Kluyveromyces lactis: one gene and its partner. The protein of the gene in region 1 interacts with the protein of each later gene in a pairwise test. Links are inferred from orthologs where the notes say so. Each region holds a gene or a part of one and is shown in the gene's direction. Other genes may lie near its edges.

What was found.
Region 2: the proteins of KLLA0_F10978g (region 1) and SHM2 interact in a two-hybrid assay, tested with the Saccharomyces cerevisiae proteins (2 studies listed by BioGRID). The link is inferred for Kluyveromyces lactis from reciprocal best matches to the Saccharomyces cerevisiae genes BAS1 and SHM2.

The regions. Positions count from the first base shown.
Region 1 is NC_006042.1:1,010,833-1,015,282, reverse strand, and holds KLLA0_F10978g (uncharacterized protein), read left to right. Parts: upstream 1-1,494; coding exon 1,495-3,804; downstream 3,805-4,450. Other genes in the region: SUMO protease ULP1, read right to left, coding at 1-791; ATG44 (mitofissin), read right to left, coding at 3,997-4,209, 4,364-4,372. UniProt on the Saccharomyces cerevisiae protein: Activates HIS4 transcription only in combination with PHO2/BAS2. BAS1 is also involved in the regulation of the purine biosynthesis pathway.
Region 2 is NC_006042.1:828,465-831,976, reverse strand, and holds SHM2 (glycine hydroxymethyltransferase SHM2), read left to right. Parts: upstream 1-1,566; coding exon 1,567-2,976; downstream 2,977-3,512. Other genes in the region: AGX1 (alanine--glyoxylate transaminase), read left to right, coding at 1-745; putative mannosidase MNL2, read right to left, coding at 3,292-3,512. UniProt on the Saccharomyces cerevisiae protein: Interconversion of serine and glycine.

The DNA.
Region 1 (4,450 bases):
GATTTCCTGTTTTCCAAAATTAAAGCCTTAATCCTTTCTGTAAGCCTTACAATGTTGTTATTACTACTGTTTGTACTGGCATTGCTGCTGTGGCTGTTATCTCTTGAAAGAAGTTTGAGCTGATTTTCCCTTTCCTTTTGCATCTCAATCGGTACATGATATTCTCCGTTGAATAAATTTTTTAAATATGATACTTCATCGGACGGTTTAGCAATTAATGCAGTGGACTGCTGTTGCTGGTTCTTATGCTTGAGTTTTCTATAGAGTCTAGTTCCATATTGTACTCTTGTAGGTGAGGATTCTGTATAGTTTTCTTCATTAGTATTATCCCAATGGAAAGGATCCTTAGGTAACTTCAACACTTCTTTCGTTGGAGTAATTGAATGTTGTAACTGTTCCCTTAAATGCTCCTTCTCTTGGAGCAGTGAGTCTAAATGAATTTTCTTTCTCGGAGTCGACTCCTCATCAACTCCTCTTTTCAAACTGTCGTAATTTGCTCCAGTAGTGTTGGAAATGGTACGATCTTTCCCATTTTCTTGCTCCAAAGGATCAATCCAGGAAAACCATGTCTTTGCTGAATCAAAAAGAGTTGAAAGGACAGTATTATATCCCAACGATTTCCACCTACTTTCGCTACCTCTATCACGTGCTTCATTACCAGAATTTAAACTATCTTTGATACCTTTCCGGTCGAAATAGTATGGTTTAGAAGAGACATCTGCAGTTATCACCGTTGATCTGGAATAATCACTAATGTCATCAAACCCTTTTCGATGATACGATACCGTCATTATTTCTACGCCAGTTTCATATAAGTGGTGAAAGTTAGAATTTAACAAATGATTCGGTTACAATAATTAAACTAACACTCAAAACTAGTATTTCAGCTGCCATGTAGCCTGTAAGTTACCATATATTACCTCGTTTCTTCGTTCCTGAAGTTATTATTGTTGATAATTGAAAGCAGCTTTTCGACAGAGATGCAATCCATGTTGAGAAATGTATACTTATTTAAACATTACCCGGATACTATCACGTGCACAAAATTTCTGCCAGGGCCCTTCTGCCTGAAAAAGAAAATAAAGAAATTTGCCAGACTAAGATTACTCAAATTTGACATCATAACTATGTAGAGTATCTCTCAGGGTATCTATCAAGCGAAGTGAAAACGGTGAATACAGCGCCTATATCACAGCAGATACAAGGCTGTGTAGACAGTTTCAGAGCTGTATTAAATTACAACTTGGTTTTCAACCCAAAATATCATTAACAGAAACAAAAAGAAGTTTATCGTTATCGTCATCTATTGATTGTACTAACAGTCATAACGGAAATATCGAGATACACTTGCTATAAAGTTTTGAACAATCTCAAAAACATTGGTTGAGAAGTAGTAAAATTGGTGTTAATTAATAAACTTGATTTCAGTCTAATTTTTTGACTTTTCTATCAAGAAATCAGTATCTTGGATCAAGTATCTATTTTGACTGGAATATGAATGAATCGTCGAGTGAGAAAGGAACTGTAGCTAGCAGTGTGAGTGACGATTCGGGTGATATGTCAGAGGAGCATATGAGCAATTTGAGGAAGAGAGTTAAGAAGGAACCAGTCAATGCTCTTGAGGTTTCAGAATCTTTAGGGTATCAAACGTTTAGAAGAAAGATGAGGAAAATATGGACCAAAGAAGAAGATGATCTGCTTAGAAAATTGGTTAACGAATCGTTAGTAAATTTGGGATATCCGGATGGTATCAAATCTATTAAAACAATTCAGCAATCTAGTAATGTTGTCAAAAAAATTCCCTGGGATCAGCTTGCCAAGCAATTCGAATTGGATAATAAGAAAGCGACGGATGTGAAAAAGAGATGGACTAGTTCTTTAGATCCTGTATTGAAGAAAGGTAAATGGACACCAGAGGAGGATGAGCTTCTCTTAAAATCATATGAACACCATGGTCCGCAATGGTTTAAGATTTCCTACGTTTTAGAGAATAGAACTGAAGACCAATGCGCGAAGAGGTACATCGAAGTGCTTGATCCCAGTACTAAAGACCGACTACGACCTTGGGATGAGACGGAAGATCTTCTACTTATAGCGAAGGTCAAGAAATATGGTACGAAATGGAGGCAAATATCGACGGAAATGGATGCTAGGCCAAGTTTAACCTGTAGAAATCGTTGGAGGAAAATTATCACTATGGTTGTTAGAGGCGTTGCATCTGAAACCATAAAAAGCGCTGTACAAGCTGGAAACATGGATGCAGGTAACGAGATGACCAGATTAGGTGAAGAAAACGAAAAGGAAAACAAGACTGATGATGACGAAGATGTTTCACGTCCTATGTCAACTTCAAATACGCCACAACCTTCAATGAAGAGCCCGAGTGGTACTGTAAAGAGAGAAGAATCGACACCTATGATATTTGACATGACTAACAGAACTAATTCTAGTGCGGCATTGTTGGATGTCTTGAAAACTGGAAAAATCAATGCGAATGATGGACAACAACCACACCAATCTAACGAAAGATCGACAGCCACCCCAGATCCAGCTGTTTTAAATAGCATAATATCGCCTTCACCGCATTACAACTCTCCACATCCTTCTATTTTTGTTGGCAGCATCAACAAAAAAGAATCTGCATTACCATCACCTAGCACATTTCTTCCAATACCCAATGTCGAAACTAGGAAACAACAACCAGAAACAACAGTTGACTGGAAATTTAGTCTGAAGGAATCTTCAGGTCATACCTTATCCAACGGTGTTATATCAAACGCTGACTTGGTAAAACAGTTAATAAATCATGCCAAGGCCAATGATTTGAAAATATCAATTCACCAGCATATTCACAACCATTATCTGGCTCCCAGACAAATATCTCCACCTCCGTTAATGTTACCACAGCAACAACAAAATAAACACATTGGTAATACTACTTCAAATTCACAAGATCTTCCAAAAATTAGAAGCCCGTCCTTCTCTGACTTCGAAACTGATTTTCTATCCAAAACTCCAAACTTCAACAATTGGGGATTGGACGATGAAACTCAAAGTCCATCGGCTCTCAACGATAAACTACAACGATTTTATCATCATCATCACCATCATCATCATGATTCGCTAGATGAAGCTCAAGAGCAGAACATAAAACAACAGCATTTAATGAACGGGGCTAATTATGCACAAAACGGCTTAAGCCAGTTGCCACCAAATCCTACAAGTTCCACTGCATCTTATCCATCGCCTACAGCTCCAGAAATCAGAGAAATAGGGCCAAGTAGGCACTCACATTTCAATTATTTACCACCCACGGTCAAGCCACAGCTTGGATCCAGTGAAAACGCCAAGACAGTTGAATTAAGCCGATTGTTAAATCCAAGTCCGAATGGACTTCATGGACATAAGAGGAAACAAACAAAGAGAAGAGGTAAAAATGAATCCAGAAACTCTAGTGCTGCAGGATCGACAGGAAATACACCAGCTGAAGATTTTGATCGCAATGGACCCAAGAATAAAGTAACCCCAAGCACCGTGTCCTCAATATCAATTATGGAAGAAGATGGTAATGATTTCTGGGAGAATCTACGCTCACTGGGAGGTAACATTGGCAGTGATGGAAAAAGCTCAGAACGGAAGTCTCCTAGTATTTCACACATAAATGATCTCTTTCAAAATACAGAAAATGCTGCTGATACACCAACTGGCTACGATGCCATCTTTAAATTTTGCGAGCAGAAGCAAATGGACGACAAGCAATCAACCGAAGAAGTTGTAGCTGAATTCGCCATCAATCCAAGCTGAAACCAGCAATGTATCATTACACCGAACTTTAATTTTCAAAACCACTTAAATATATAATGAATATACTAACTATAAATATATGTTAAGGACTTACAATCACATCTGTTTCATTCATAGCTAACCCGTTATAGCGAAAAGATCACACAAAAAAAACAAATTAAGTTATTAAAGGGGAACTTCGTCTTTTGTATCTCATTTCCTCTGGAAATATGATGAAGATCCTAGAGTTGCCACTGTATAATCATATACTGACTCTCCCAAGTTCAAATATTTCGTGGAATATTCCCTAACGGTAATATCGCTAATGTGATCAATCTTAGGGGTCAATCCAGTATTTCTCTTAATACCTGCCAAGCAGGTAGAAATTAAAACAGCATCAATAGCCAAATGTACAGTTTTACCGATCTTAAATTAGTCTTGCTCATCCAATTCACACTCTTTCCTTCTTCCTCTTCGGAAGGAATGAGCGCATTTCATAGCATAGATGTTAGTATCTTTTAGACATATAATCGTAGCAATACGATTGACAACCCAAACTAGGCTTCATAGCATAACATACAAAGGTCATTTTAGGGAATAAACGTGGTTTATTTGAAGACACCTCGTCTTTGTATATTCTTTTGGCCACAGATGATTTCCTGTTTGC
Region 2 (3,512 bases), about 180 kb from region 1:
AATTGAATCTCAATTAAAGTCCAAGAAATACCAATTGATCACTTTGACTCACGTCGATACCTCTACTGCTACCCTATTGGATCTCCCATCAATCACCTCGTTGGTGAAGAAAGTTTCTCCAGAAACTTTCATTATTGTTGACGGTGTTTGTTCCATTGGATGCGAAGAATTTAAATTCTCCGAATGGTCTGTCGATTTCGTTTTGACCGCATCTCAAAAGGCGTTATCATGTCCTTCTGGGTTAAGTGTTTCTTTGATCAGTGAACGCGCCTTATCATACGCTTTGAGCAACGAATCCACCCATGGATTCTATGCTAACTTAAAGAAATGGATCCCAATCATGAAAGCATACGAAGCTGGTGTAGGCCAATATTTCGCTACTCCATCAATTCAATTAGTTAACGCATTAAACGTCTCCCTTGGAGAAATCTTGTCCTATGGACTCGAGGCCAGAATCGCCAAGAACAAGAAAACTTCTGACCAGTTCAAAAATAACTTGAAACAATTGGGTCTCACTTTGGTCTCAGAGGATTCCAACAGCGCTCATGGATTGACTGCCGTATACGTCGACCAACCAGGTAAAGTGATCTCTTCCTTGAAATCAAAGGGTATAGTCATCGCCGGTGGAATCTTACCCGGCATCAAGGACAAGTATATCCGAATTGGTCACATGGGTATCTCTGCCATCGATGACAACTTGCACCACATCGACAAGGTATTCGAAGCAATCAAGGAATCTATTTAATCTAGGGAAATCCATCCTGTTTGTATATAACGATCTGTATACTCCTTCCCTCACTCAAGTCAAACTCTTTATGCCAATGCCATGCCTCTTCTTCGTCAAGTCTACTGTCGAACCTTTTCAAGTCAAAAATGGAAGCTCATCTCGAGAAGTGAAAAGTGAAAAAAAAAGGAACAAGAAATGCAGTGGTGGCTCTCAAAATGTGTGTATCACCGCTCCAGCTCCATTCAAGTCATATATTGGATACAAAGGCCCGTATTATCACGACTCATTTCACTACTATTTTGTGGGCCACGAAATTTATACACAAATGTATGCAACTATGTGTAGTGCTCCTACATAACCATCACTGTGTTTTTTTTTCCGATGACTTGAAGGTACTATTACTGCCGTTGCGCAGCAGAGCAGCAGTGACATAAGTAACAGTCCCAAATTTTTTTCACAGGTTCCAATCCAAGCTAATTCTATCTTACAACGGGTAAGTAATAAGGTTACTGTCAGTACTGAAAGTACTTACGATGATTTTATTTACGTAGTAATTTTCTTTTTCAGAATTATCATAATTCTTTGATCAAGTTACTGTGAAATTTTAATTGAAAAAAAAAAAAAAATTAAGTTCTTACGAAATCCTTTATTCGTTATAAATATGAAGGATACCTGATAGAGGGAAACGTGTACAAGTATATATATTGGACTACCATTTATCTAATTGTGTTTTATCTTGGAATCCTTGTTATTCGTTTTGTTTTAGAGGTTTATAGTATTTCTTCTCTTCCAAGCTACTCTTCATTAAGGATAGAACCAACAACTATAATAATCTAACGATGCCATACGCTCTATCTGACTCTCACAAGAACTTGGTTTCTGCTCACTTGTCTGAAAGTGATCCAGAAGTCGAACAAATCATCAAGGATGAAATTGACAGACAAAAGCACTCTATTGTCTTGATTGCTTCTGAAAACTTCACCTCTACCTCTGTTTTCGATGCTTTGGGAACTCCAATGTGTAACAAGTATTCTGAAGGTTATCCAGGTGCTAGATACTATGGTGGTAACGAACACATTGACCGTATGGAATTGTTGTGTCAAAAGAGAGCTCTAGAAGCTTTCAACTTGACTGCTGACAAATGGGGTGTTAACGTCCAAACTTTGTCTGGTTCTCCAGCTAACTTGCAAGTCTACCAAGCCTTGATGAGACCTCATGAAAGATTGATGGGTTTGTTCTTGCCAGATGGTGGTCATTTGTCTCACGGTTACCAAACTGAAAACAGAAAGATTTCTGCTGTCTCCACTTACTTCGAATCTTTCCCATACAGAGTTGATCCAAAGACTGGTATCATCGACTATGACACTTTGGAAAAGAATGCCATCTTGTACAGACCAAAGATCTTGGTTGCTGGTACTTCTGCATACTGTCGTTTGATCGACTACAAGAGAATGAGAGAAATCGCCGACAAGGTTGGTGCTTACTTGATGGTTGACATGGCTCACATCTCTGGTTTGATCGCTGCTGGTGTTATTCCATCTCCATTCGAATACGCTGACATTGTCACTACCACTACTCACAAGTCCTTGCGTGGTCCAAGAGGTGCTATGATCTTCTTCAGAAGAGGTATCAGATCTGTTAACCCAAAGACTGGTAAGGAAATCCCATACGATTTGGAAGGTCCAATCAACTTCTCCGTCTTCCCAGGTCACCAAGGTGGTCCACACAACCATACCATCTCTGCCTTGGCTACTGCTTTGAAGCAAGCCAACACTCCAGAATTCAAGGAGTACCAAACTCAAGTCTTGAAGAACGCTAAGGTTCTAGAAGAGTCCTTCAAGAAGTTGGGTTACAGATTAGTGTCCGATGGTACTGACTCCCATATGGTCTTAGTCTCCTTGAGAGAAAAGGGTGTCGATGGTGCTCGTGTCGAATACGTTTGTGAAAACATCAACATCGCTTTGAACAAGAACTCTATCCCAGGTGACAAATCTGCTTTGGTCCCAGGTGGTGTCCGTATCGGTGCTCCAGCTATGACTACTAGAGGTTTCGGTGAACCAGAATTCGCTAGAATCGTCGACTACATTGACAAGGCCGTTCAATTTGCTGCTAAGACTCAACAATCTTTGCCAAAGGAAGCCAACAAATTGAAGGACTTCAAGGCTAAGGTCAACGAAGGTTCTGAAGAATTGACCCAATTGAAGAACGAAATCTACCAATGGGCCGGTGAATTCCCATTGCCAGTGTAAACGAACTTGGATTAAAAAATATTTGACAGACACTTGTTTTCTTTCCTTTCCACACTGTAATAATGACTATCCTATTTCAATTCTTATGGACATCCAACAAATTGATGATCCGTAATACCAATTGCAATTCACACTCTTTTTTATCAACTTGGGTTCTAATTTTCAACAAATGGTATCTCTTTTATCTAATTGATGATATGTATAAATAGCATCTCTTTTCGTATATTTTTTAAGTAGTTCAATTCAACAATTGAATCATATTCAACAAAATAATCATGATCATTCTTGCTATAACAAATGCGAATATATACATATTTACGGGTTCATTAGCTTGTTGGTTTCTTTTATGTCGTCAAAGGTATGATAAATCCGTTTAGAAGTCGGATTAACCTCAAATTGTCTGGCAATGAAATGGTACTTGCTGTTTATGACGTATTCATCAATATTAACGTGATCCTCAAACAATGCATAAAATAACCTTACTAACTTTCCCGTATCCGCTACGGTTAATTGTGACCATTCGATGCTATGCATAA